Caenorhabditis elegans: one gene and its partner. The protein of the gene in region 1 interacts with the protein of each later gene in a biochemical or structural test. Each region holds a gene or a part of one and is shown on either strand. Other genes may lie near its edges. The genes, in order: flp-21 and npr-2.

The links.
Region 2: the proteins of flp-21 (region 1) and npr-2 interact in a test that uses a peptide from one of them, tested with the Caenorhabditis elegans proteins (one large-scale study listed by BioGRID).

Annotation. Positions count from the first base shown.
Region 1 is NC_003283.11:7,790,273-7,796,110, forward strand, and holds flp-21 (GLGPRPLRF-amide), read left to right. Parts: upstream 1-3,094; 5' UTR 3,095-3,097; coding exon 3,098-3,182; intron 3,183-3,232; coding exon 3,233-3,302; intron 3,303-3,467; coding exon 3,468-3,513; 3' UTR 3,514-3,753; downstream 3,754-5,838. UniProt on the Caenorhabditis elegans protein: FMRFamide-like neuropeptide. Involved in modulating locomotion quiescence during the sleep-like state called lethargus which occurs during molting between larval and adult stages, acting via the G-protein coupled receptor npr-1.
Region 2 is NC_003282.8:9,575,397-9,582,933, forward strand, and holds the start of npr-2 (G-protein coupled receptors family 1 profile domain-containing protein), read right to left. Parts: upstream 4,726-7,537; 5' UTR 4,657-4,725; coding exon 4,615-4,656; intron 1,088-4,614; coding exon 1,001-1,087; intron 1-1,000.

The DNA of each region.
Region 1 (5,838 bases):
TTCGTAATACGTGTAGTTACTAAGTAGTAGTCAAGTGACATTATTATTAAAAATTCGTGTGCGTCTCGTTTCAAAACACGTCGACGGGCGGGCGGGGAGGGTATTCATAAAATTGATGGATGGGCCCATCATGTACAGCCCAAATAAGAAGGGCGGGGCTAAAAGTTCCGCTCCGCAGCAGATACTAAAGGGACGATTCAAGTCGGTCTAGTTGTTCATCGCTTCTTTTTTTTCGGAAAATGATCTATAAAATTGTTATTTCAATGACAAATTTGTTGTCTATAATTATAGTTTTACATATGTTGTTCTAACTTTCCAGTTATCATCACTTGCTACAAGATTTGTTAATTTGATTCTCAGAGCTTATACTTTCACGGTCTACATATCTTCTGCTGCAGAATATTCAATGAAAACTAGGTCCAGTGACCGAAAGTGGAAAAAATTTTTTCAGTCATTCTAATTTTTCTCATACAAAAACTACTACCTTGGGCCTACAGCTAGAGTACACTTTTTCAAAGATTAAATTGAAATGAGGTCTTGACGAATTACAAAAAATACACATGCAGGCGTGTAGGCATAAAATAAGCCTTCCCAAACATCAATAAACGTTCTGAACCTGGTCCAAATTTTTGTCCATTTGTTCTAGGACAACTTTTATTATATTTGCGTAAAATTTCTGCGCTATGCCCAGTGTAGCAAAATTTTGGAAACTCGGTTTTCCAATTTAACATTGTAAGCATTTTTTTAAAACAAATTTCGAATTAAATTTTGGCAAACTACACGAGCTGGCTATTTGTATATTGTTAGATCCGAGGGTGGACGGCAAAGGGCGATTTCGGCAAAAATTTTCCGCTGCCTTACTTTTTTTTAGAAATACCGTAACCTTAAGTTTGGCCTATAACTTTCATGGTAGGCAGGTACGCTTTCATGTCTATGTACCTTTCTCTTGTCCGAATGTCTGTGTTTGCCGCAGTAGAATTTTTTTTTGAAAATCATTTTAGGTTCACAAAAAAACCGGAAATATGTAAACGCAGTCACCTATTTCTTGATAGTTACGTCGTAAGAAATTACTCTCGTAAATTGTACGGAACTTTGATCACTCGTCTGTCTTATTACTGTGGAGTCTATGACATTTCTGTCTGAACGCTGTTTCGTAAATAATAAAATGACAAATTAATAGCTTAAGCTCTGATTTTAAGCCAAAGCCTTCTTATCCTGGAATTTTATTCTAATTTTCAGTCTTCGATATCATTCCTCGAAAAATCACAAATACATATGGTGATGTGAATACTCGTCTGTAATTGTTAGGTGGCCACTTCGTAAAATGCTGATATTTCCAAAACCAAAATATAAGAGATCTTGGAGAAAACGCGTCAAAAACCAGCATTTGACGTGTACCTCTACAAATTCTTTCACCTGCCAAATGTTAAATTTGATCTACTGACCCACTAAAACACTACTTTTTTTGTTACCAATGACAATTTTTATGCGACTTTGACATTTGGACAGGGAAAAGTTTTTCCATTCTTTAGTTTGAAACCGAGTCCAAAAATTACAAAATTTTCAAGTTTTTATGCCTCGCTAAACTCTCTAAAGAAGTTTAACTTTGAAAGTCAATGAGCCAACGAAAATTTGTTTCCTCTTCTTCGATGATGACGAAATGTGCCCCGAAGTAACTCGATAATCGTGGAAATCTCTACTTTTTTCGGCTCATAAAGCTTCTTTATTTCTTTTTTTGGTTTTCATCGAAAACTTATCGTATCAAAAACTACCAACTTTTTTGAATATTTGTAAGACTACATTTTCTCATCACTTTTACCCTCCACCTCATCGTTCATCACATTTATCTTACTCCCACTTGCTCTTCACATCACTTTTGTGGGTATATCAATTGGTTGGTGTTTTTTATGTGTTTGTGAATGTTTTGGGGAAGGCTGTGCAAAAATATCAGAAAAAAGAAGAACCTACATGCATTTTGAGGTGGTCTTCATTGTGACTGTTCCTCATTTGGTTGAGATGTCTGCGAATATTAAAAATCTTAAAGACTTTTTTGACCAAAACAATGTGGTATTAAAGGGGAAAAGAAAGAAGAACGTATGTCAACAGTTTTCCTAGTTCAGTCCTAGATTTTTTTTTCAAATCAACTGTCACATTTTTAAAAGGTTAGATGTGTTGTGGAAATCTCTACTTTTCAATTAAAGTTTAATAACTTTTGGCTGTATCAAATACGTGCATTGAAACTCAACTGTTCTCACCTTAAAGTTTTCTGATGCGTTTACAGTCGGGACCAACTACTTACACTGAAACATGTTTATCTTAATTAAGCGGAGCACACTTCCTTTTATTCAAAAAACCTCATAATGCACAAGACGCTGTTTGCTTTCTTTCAAGACCGTAATTAGACAAAGTCATCGAGCAGTAGATTTTTCAAGTCAGCTATTTTCTTTATTCCAAAAACTGCATATTTGTAATACTCATGAATTTTTCATATTTTATGGTTACTCAAAATCTACACGTCTTTATTACAATCTCTCGTTGAATTATCGCGTAAAATTACATCTTCCAAAATAGGACCATTGTTGTTTTCAAGTCATAGCATATTTTAACGCGATTTCCGGCCACCTCAACTATGCTCTGCAACGAGTATGACGTGCCCAATAAATATTGGGCTATCCTGTTTTCCCACCACATACACCCTCCTCATAGTTCCCAGAAAAAACTTTTACCGGAATCACGTATACATATAACATCATCTTACCTGAAAAAACATTTCGATGTATCATTTGCCTAGGTTCTAGGATGGGTGGTTGCTCTTGGAGCAAAGGTCATTTTTGTGAGTAGTCCAGTAGATTTGGAAGGGGATACACTGAAATATTCATTTCTTGTTTCAAAGCTACCGTAGTGATCACTTCCGTCTTACTATTTATCTCAAAACTTCTTTTTTTCCACCCCATCCCATCATGCTTCGCAAGAATCTCATTAACAAATGCAAATTTACAACGATGACTATGTACACTATTTAAGATTTGATTGTGTATTCAACGTTTGATCTCCCACCCTCTCATTGCTCCAAAATCCAAAAAGTCATTTTCAGACGATGCGGCTGTTCATCTTGCTTTCGTGTCTTCTCGCGTGGGTCCTCGCAGCGCCTTATATCGATCAGGAAGATGCGCTCCGCGTTTGTAAGTTTTGTCAAAGTTAAAGATTTAGATTAATCATTAATCTTTTTCAGTGAACGCATATTTGGAGCAATTCGGACCCGGCAGTGACAGAGTTTACTATGTTGCCGAAGACGATCATGGGTAGGTCCAGTTTAATTATTTTCTGATAGACATCTTTATTAAGTCAAGTCTTACTGTAGAATAAGTTGCAAATCGCTATAATTAATAATTTACCGAAATACGAGCATTCAGCTAGAATAAATTAGTTGCGATTCAGAAAAAAGTAAACTAATTTTAAAATTTCAGATCAATGAAACGTGGTCTCGGTCCTCGTCCTCTCCGATTTGGATAAACGGTTGCTGCTCGAACGAACGAACAACATGACACAACATTTTCTCTCTTTCCTCTCAATGTAACTTTATACAAAAATGATGTTCCAGACACTCCACAATTCCAATTCCGAAGAAATATCTATCCTCTCCTTTTCTCTTTGAAAACGCTGCAGAAACAATGTTCTTTTTACTCTCTCTCTCTTTTTCTATCTCACTTCCTCTTTTTCTGTTGAACAAATAAAAACAGCTTTCAGTTTGACATTTGACTTTTTATTAAGTTTATGAGTGCCCTTATATTTAAGAATTTTCCAATTGTGCAATTGTACCCTGCAACTGTAATGGTAGAATCCGGGAAAATCAGTCAGGATTACATTAATGAAACAGTTGGTGTCTTCCCTGCAGGGGTTGAACAAACATTATGGATACTGTTTCAAGGATCGTAGTTGCCGTAATAAATCCATTGAGGCGTCTATCTCTTGAATTTCTAACATAATGTGCCGACTATATAGTAATAAAGCTCCTGAAATTGAGTTTTGGGTGCCAATTTTGTAGTTTTGTGGAAAGTGTAATGATCGTTGAATTTTGGTTTTTGATGATTTTTAAGAACATTTTCCGAGAAATTTCGTATGGCAATTAATACATGGAAAAAATCAGTCCTAGGGATTTTATTCACAATAAAACCGAGAATTCCCTAGAATTGAAGATAAAGTAGTACTTATACATAGTTTCCTACCAAAGCCGAGCCGATTGCAAAAGTTTCGAAAAAATAAAATATCCAATTCGGTTTATGATTACCGCGAAAACAGAAAATAACATATTTTGAGCAAAAATTCTAGTGTTTTTCAACAATACATTTTAACGTTAAATTCTTAGTTTGGTCAATTCAGCATTCGGGGCCACAAACTCCTGCTTCGATCTCTGCACAAATTTCTGTTATCCCTAAAAAATTATCACATTATTTTCAGCCTTATTCATTTTTAGTTAACTCAATATTCGTAAATTACGTAATAGATATTGTCGTTTTAGGATCTCGTTGTACATTAATCTCATCCAAACAAAGAAAATGAGCTTTAAAAGCTCTAAAAACGAGTAAACAAGGTATTCATCAGACAAATGGTTCAAATCGCAATAAGCTTTTTTCTATTTAAAAAAATATAGGTAAAGACCAAAATACAGGACCTTTCAGATTAATTATATTTTTAAGCTTATTTTCAAAATCTAAAACCAAAAATAAATATTTTAAAAATATTGAAATTGAGTGGGCGTGGGAATCTGGAAAGTTAAATATTTAATTCAAAACACAAACGTCTAGAAATATGAGACGAACTACTTGGACTTTGGCCAATATTCAAGAGTTCTTTGGTGTGATTTTTAAACATTATTTATAGAAGAGATTTGTCTATAAGTGGCTAAATACTGCTATAACAATTTTTCTAAAAATATTTCTGCCCAAAAAATTGTATTTCTACTTCTGTGATAAGTTGCATCATTTTTATAAATTTTCTACAAATTCAATTGTTCAATTTTGTGATTTTTTATGAGTTTTTTTAGAGTCAATTTTCAAATTTACCCTTATCTCAAAGCTAGAGGTTCAAATATTTCTCTTTATGTTTATCTATGAAGTTCATCTATGATGTGTGGGTTGAAAAAGTGTAATCGTGACAAAATAAGCTTTGAAATTGCTTTATGTTTGTTTTAATTCTGTCTCAAAGTGTTTCAATAATGGTTAAAGATTATAGAACATTGTTAGAAGATTCGTTCGGTTAGATTTCTAATAAGTTTGGCTTTTTTTAAATTTTGTCTCAAAATTTTATAAGAAGTATATTTTGTTCAGAGCCTAAATACAATTACAATATTCCAAACATCAGAACACAATACTGTAAAATGTTTTCAGGTTTTTTTTTCAAATTTTTTCAGTGAAAGTTTTGATCAATTATTATGTTACTCTTTCATTATTATGTTACTCTTTCAATGAGAGTAGTGTCCAACGGCAACAATTTTCAATTGCCAGTGATAAAAGTTTTATAATATAATAAAAATTAAAAAAAAAATCTTAATGGTGGCTCCATGTAGGCAAGAAAAATAAATTTTATTACAAGGTAAGTATTTCAGCTCCCAATTAAACTGAAGTGAAACCTATCAAATTGAAATAGGGCCTTTAAATACGGTTACAACAAGATAATTATCAGCAGAGGAGGCCGTTGAACAAGAAAAATTGATTTGAAAATAAAATGAAAAGAAAATTAGTTGGGGTAAATAAAGTTTCAGATTTTTTCCAAAAAACATTTTTTTTAAATTAAAATCACATCATTAAAAATCTACAAACATTTACTTTTGGAGGAATT
Region 2 (7,537 bases), on another chromosome or scaffold:
TGATTGACAAGGCATCAAAAGTAACAGTTAAGAAGAACTTTTTGATGGAAAAATTCTTGACATTTCTTTTGAAAAATAAGAAAAGGGCATTGGAAATTTAGAAGAGTTCGTGAGAAGTTAGTGAGAAAAAACAATTTCATCTTCAAAAATCCAATAATTTTTAAAAGAACAATAAATAAAACCTAACCAGCAAACTATGTGCCCAAAAATTCATATTTTTTTCAAAAAAAAACTAGTAAATTTCAGATCTATTCATCATTTTTCGTCTTCACTGCCAGGTGTGAAAAGTGGCAGGTCTGATGTTAGCAATGAACAGAAAATAAGAAAGCCCGAGCAAAGAGGGAAGGAAGGAAAAACAAGATATTAAGGTTGCTGAAATTTACGGAAATTGAGCGAAACGGGATAAAAAGTGCATGGATTCTTGGAAATGTGTGGCGAGAAGACAGGAAACACAGGAAGCTTTAGAGGTGGGAAATATTAGTTAAATTATTATCAGTGAATAAGAAAAACTTTAAGAAAAACCAACAAAAAAATGTTTCACAGTTTTATATTCTCTGAAGAAATCATTTTCAGTTGTACCCGAAATAATTGTTTTTTAAAGGAAAATGAAGGAAACTGCAGTTTCAGGTATTCATATTTAATTTCTCCGAAAATTTTAATTGTAGTGTTAAAGATTGATAAAGAAGAAAATTCAAATTTTATCATTCGAAATTCCAACGTCATGCAAAACGATTTTGCTAGAAATTTCTCTTACAAAACGAATGCATTTTCCTAATCTTAACTTTGAAATCTAAATCTTTTAATTGGAAATAAAATTGAACTAAATAACTCATTGGCTTCTTTTTTCAGTCTTTGCGTTTCCTTCAAATATGAAACTAAAAGAAAAAATGCTCTTTTGTTGTGTCATGGGACCGAAATTCCTGTAAAAGTAGAACACTTTTATTTTAGAAATTTTTCAGACTTCAATATCTAAAATTTTTGTGCTAACAAAAAGGCTAACCTGCGAAGAGTGCAGTTGAATCAACTTTCTTCTCATTTCTTGTAGCATTCGAGTACCATCTGATTGTCGCAGCATGTTTTTCAACGCCTGAAAATAAGAAAAATAAGGAACAAATCTGAAAATGACAAGGGCTTCCAGTGAAAAAATGGCTCTGAATTAAGAGGTGTTTTTCTTTTAAAAAATTATTTTTTTCGGTGAATGATCATAAATGAGACGATGATGTCTGAAATTATGACAAGATGAAGGTGGGAGGAGCGAATTGTTGGAACAGGATTAATATTCTCAAGAATACGTGGATTTCAGTAAGAATTTGCTGATATAAAGGAAAATTAAAAATCTTTCAAATATTAAATTGACCTTTCGAGAGCTTTTGAAACTGAATATTGTCCTCAAGGTAGGGAATAAAAAATGATATGATCAGTGGCAAAATTGGGTTTTTTCGAAGAATTAAATCCAAAATCTTGAGCTTTTGTTACAAGAACCATTTTCAGGAACTCTCGCTTTGAAAAAAATGGTTTGCGATGCGAGTCAGTAATTATGGAAAATGTTTCGTGGGGAACTGTGGAGTTCAACAATAAATTTTAAAAAGTGATATCACGAGTTAAACTTTGAGTTGTTATAGCTCATTGACGTAAGTTCTTACTTTTATTTTTCTTAAAACTGCTTCCATTTGCGAGAAAAAGAATAAATATTTCATTTTTCCATCTCATGAAAAAACCTCCTCAAAGATCATATCTTAACGGGAGATGGAAGCAACTGAAGGAACTTTTTTTACTAGTTTTCTTGTTGAAATTTTTTTGCTGTAAATTGAGCTCAAAATTCAATTTTCTGAGCAATTTCCGGCACAAATTTCATTTCCTTTTGGGTCATGTTTGTGCATGTTCGGGAAGAGAAAGATGAGGTCTCAATTTTCAAAAAATTTCCACCGATTTGTGTTCTATGGATTTGAATATCCGAAAAGGTCATATCACACCAAGGAAATTATGAAAAATATTTAATCTCTGAAAAGCTGAAAAGATAATCAAAATAAAAGTTGTCGTGGGAGTTGAACAGGTGAATTTTTCTTTGAAAGCATATAAAATTTTTTGTGATAGACTGACTTTCAAAAATTTGTGATTAAAGGCAAAATTTAAAAAAGTGTTTCAAGATGAAGTAGATTCATTACTAATAATGCAAACTTAGCAAAATTAGTATTACGAACAAGTTTTAAAATTTTAAACATTCCAGTCAACGTTTTGATAACTTGCAAAATTTCCAAAAACTTCGGTTTTTAGAACAATCTCTCGTGTTTGAGCTCCCTATCTTTAATTACTAAATGTTTTTTAACATAATTCGAATATTTAAAAGGGAAGAGTTTTTTCGGGTCAGCTTTCAAAATTATGAGTTGCGAAAATTGAGTAATCACCACTTTTTGACTGTAAATAATTGAAATAATTAAACATTTATTTCAAAAATTTTCTATGATATTCGGTAATTTCAGCACTGAAAAGTGATCTTCTAACCACTCCCTTCAAAGGAAACATTCCACTTTTGACATTTATTTGGAATTACGTAGCTATATTCATTGCGGATCTTTTGATCGCAGATCTTGCCTCACAGAAATCGTACGTGGAATGTACGGTTGACTTAGTACAGTTGGGAGCTTTTCTTCTCGTTCAGCTCTAGAATATCAAAATGAAATTCAAGCTCAACGTGGGAAATGACCGGCTTTGTAAACTCTGTCTGTGTTTTTAACAACATTTCAGCAATTTAAAAACATTTCTGAAATTCTTAAAGCAAAAGAATTAGAATATTTGAGAACGCGTCAGTTCCTTTATAGAAACAAAGGAAGCACAAAGTTCATAATGTAAAACAGGAAAATGCCGAGGCGACAGAATTCTTCATTTTCTCGCCGACAACTTCATGTTAAGTTCTTCTTCTTCTCCGTTGTCGCATCATGAGAATTTGAATAATTCAGTGGAAAATGGCGAGGATGACTGGTTTGACACGTATATTGCTACGAAGAAAATGAAGACGTAAAAAAGGTTTCTTTTAGGATCAAGGCAAGAAAACATAAAAGTTGTCGTGTTTCTTTAGTGACTCATTTAGATAATGGATAATAATATATTCTTGGAGTGCGTATAAGAGATTGAACCTATGATTTCAAAAGTAAATAATTTAGTTTACTTATAGAAATTATTTTCTTAAAATATGCACATACACTAAAAGTATTCAGAAAAACGTTTTCAGCACCAACAATAAAGATAACTTGTGGCTTTAAAGTTATTTTGGGAGAAATCAAAATTATGACCATTTTTAAGCAAATAAAGATTTAAAAAATGGAGTCCCGAATAAACTTCTGCGTTTAAAAGTAGGTATTGCAGAAAATTACGAGTACACGATGACTTGAACCTATTGACTAATTTCAAATTGCAGAAAATTACAATTCGAATTTATCTAATAAGCTTGTGAAAAAATAATTTAGAATATTCCTTAATGAGGAAGTTTAATCTTTGAGAGTTGTTTATCGTTGCGATATTCAAATTTCAATGGCTTCAAACAACGAGTTTGAAGTCCTACAGTATCTATAAAAATTAATTCAAGTTTAGATTTTAAAAAATAGAAACGGAATTCGTTCAGTTTATCTTCAAATTTTCATGTGATAGCAAGTACTTTCGTTTTAATCTTTTTTTTTCAAATAAAATAAAACTAAAAGGATCAATTTTATTGAAAACTTTAAAAAATCTTAAAAGCTAATTAATAAAAATATGGGCGTTGCAGGACACTTTCAAAGAACATGAATTGCTGAACAAACTTGTATCTTTTGTTTTAAAAATATTCGTATGTCAAGCTCAAAGTCTCACAAATATTACAGTTTCCGGTATTTTCTAAAAAAAAACTAACTGACGGTTTAGTAAAATTTCGATTCATATGAAGGTTTTATTTGTAATTATTGGAAAATGGAAATCCTCAAAAAATATCCGGGAATCAGAACTTTTGGCACTTGTGTGTTTGCCCAAAATCGAAACGACTCGAAAACGACGATCGAAACGACTTTCATTTTTTGGGAATTTCTACGAGTTCACTAATTTGTTTTGTCTGGCTCAAAAATCAACGCGTAAAAAATAAAATCTTGCATTGTTCAGTTTTCTGACCAACAACAATAGAACTCTTGGTTTTGCAAAACTAACCGATTATAAATTCCAGGCATTTTAAATAACAAATGTTTTTAAAAAATTACTGAAAAGCGAAAAAAAATAATGTGAATGAATATTCAGAACCAGCTGAAATCTAAGATTGAAACCTTACATTTCCAGAAAAGTGTGTGTGAAAAGAATGAAGCCGTGGAAAAAGTTCAGTCTGATCAGATATTGACTCAATCTTTAGATTTTCTCAAAATTCAAAATCATTATAAGAACTGTGATTCAATAACAATATCTCCTTAAATGCAATTCACAGAAATTTAAGCTCTGATAATTTTTTTTGAACGAAATGTAACCTAGTTCAAGCCAATGTTTCCACAAAATTCACCTTTAAATTCATAAAAATTATGTACTTTCTAGAAAAAATCAGAAAAAACCATAAATGCTTTTTGTTGAGTTCTGTATAGTATTTTAAAACGTTAAATCACTTACCAAAAGGTCCGGAGCCTCAACACGTGTATTCACCATCGACATTATGAATTTACAGAAGTGAAATGAAACTAGTCGACTTTTCTCTCCAATGGAGGCGTTGACGTTGCTCTCCTGCAAATAATATGACAATTATTGTTATACGAATAATTTTACTTTTTATTGGATTAAATGTGCTTTAATCAAATGACGTAGAAAATGGAGTTTAGAAACTGAAAAAAGGGCACAGAAAAAAAACGTTAGAAAAATAAAGGCGTTTAAGTGAAAAACTGAAATTTTGATGGCGGAAGGAGTGATTAGAAGTTAAATCTGAAGCGAATCCTCTTAAATAAAAATTTTGAGATTTCCAAATGTTCTATAAGCTAAACGAGAAAGCTGCAAATAATGCAATTTTGCATTAAATAACAATCAAAATGTCAAATTTTGAAGGCTTCGAATACTTCAATAACTCATATCGGAAATCTGTCGTAGAAATTTAAATATTCAAAAATATTCAAAAAACCAAAAAAATGTTTTTTTTTGATATTAGACAATTCATTTTCGACATTCAAAACAAAATAAATTATGTTTTCATTGAAACTCGATTCTTCCCTAAATCCATTAGTAATGCTCATACGAATTTAATTTAAGCATACTCGCCTTCACATAATCGCAGTTTATTTTGAGCTATAACATGATTATTTACAACGAAACGAAATTCCAAAAGCTCAAAAAATCTCAAATATCGGAAAAATAAGTAAGCTGTAATTTTATCTGCCATGCTATTATCTATTCTAGCCTTTTCTGAACAGATTTGTCATTCTGATCAGAGATTTCAAGCGAAAAACAAAATGAAAAGTGTTCTCTAAACCACTTGCTTTTAAAATTTAAAAAACCGACTAAAAATTCACATCAGTCTACCTCTTCGTGCATCACATTTTGCACTTTTTGCCAGCAATTCATAAATAATTTAGTTGAAAGGCACAAAACGTTCGGAGATTAAGATTGTTCTTTTTCACTGCGATTTTATTTTTTAACTAGCGGCGGAAAAAAATCTTGCAAATTTGTGTCTGTGTGTGCCCACAAACGTCATCAAAAAAGTCGTTTATACTATTTTAGAACAAAAAACATCAGTACAGATTATTAGATTTCACAGAAATACTATCGTACGAGAAATCAAATAACTGAAAAAAAAAACTACATTAAACTTTATATTTTTCGATGAACACTTTTTTGCCTATTTTATTTTGGATTAAGAGTAAGCATCAAGTTCAAAATAACAACTGGCAAAAAATTCATGGAATAGAATGAAACATTCTCTTGAACAACGGAACAAGGCATTTACCCTAATCAACTTTACGATTCCACGTCATAATCAAGAATTCAAAGAAAAAATCTGAAGATTTTATAAGAAAGAGTTGGAGAATAAGGAATACATGGAAATGATATGCGAATGAGAGACTATAATTTATGAGAAATGATTCCAAGTTGGGATAGATTCCACATATAATTTGAATTTCTTTAAAGGGTATAATTATAAATAAAATGGCAAACTGAATGTGAAATAGAGAAAAAAATATTCGTCAAAAAAGAATAACATGAAATGGTTATTGTTTCGAAGTTTTATATGAAAAATATTTTTTAAAAAAAGTAGCAAATTTATTGGAAGTTTCTTCTCATTTTCAGAAACACTTTAAATACTGTTTTAAAGAAATTATGAATAAGCATTGTAACTGAGCTTTGATATTGGGAGTATCATAAGTTTTCTATAATATTGATTTAGGTATTCTACGAGATCTGCTCATTTTCGTCCTCCTCCTTGCCAACTCGGGCGCGGAAAGGCATTAAATCTTTAAAAAAAGAGGTGGCTTTATCCAAGTGCTAAAATTACGTACAAAAAATGCAAAAAAATTTTAAAGTGAAGAAATGCAACGTTTTCTTAGATTACACTGCAATTCACACGTCAAAAGGATTAGGACGAGTAATTTAGTAATTTCAAGCAAAAAAAGGGGAAATCAAGCAAAAAACACCCTGTTGAACCTCCGATGGTTTTTTTTTATGTTTTGCTCGTATTATTCACTATCAGGGATTTCTTTGATATTTTCATTATTTATTTTGGATAGTCGGAAAATATTTGTTTTGATAATTTTAATCAGAAAAAAAAAACAAAAGAGTCAGATAATCATTCATCAAATTTCAACAACCAAAAGTTACATTTTTGAACAAAAAAAAACAAACAAAACGCTTACCATTTACATTTATTGTCAGTTAAAAAAAAATAATTCTTTTTGAATTTTCCTGGAAATTTTGTAAGTAACATAACATCTGTACAGAGAAGAATATTCATTAGTGCTCTTCTACTTTTAGAATGTGTTTTTAGAAATGATGAGTTTTTACTTCCAAAATAGAGCGCAGAAAAAGTGGGCGAAAACCTTAATTTCTGGCGCTTTCCAAGAAAAAATAAGTTTGGTTTCATGGGACTTTGTCTGTGAATAAATTTGATGAATAAAGTAATGTGAACACTTTTAATTTAAAATTATTTTAAAAAAGTGTTTGAATTGAAAGTTTTTAAAACATCCATAAAGTAAAACGGAAGTGATGTAAGAGTTTGAAATACTATTAGAATTGAGTATTAGACTCCATTGTACGTAACAGACAATTAAAATTCTCTCAATTATATGAAATAAATTTAAATTTCAGAATTATGACACATCCCACGAGAACTTTCGAGCTTATTCATCAAATTATATTGTTGACTAGCCATTAGAAATGTCATTTCTGTTCAGAGTATTATATTATTGGTAAATATGGTGTCATTGCGGAAAATGATGTTATAATTCAAAAATTTCGACTTGTAGTTCAGAAACTGTGCTGGTATTGGAAAGATGTAGGAATTAAACTTAAATAAAAACCTTGAGCTTTGCATATATTTTCATAAACATTCATA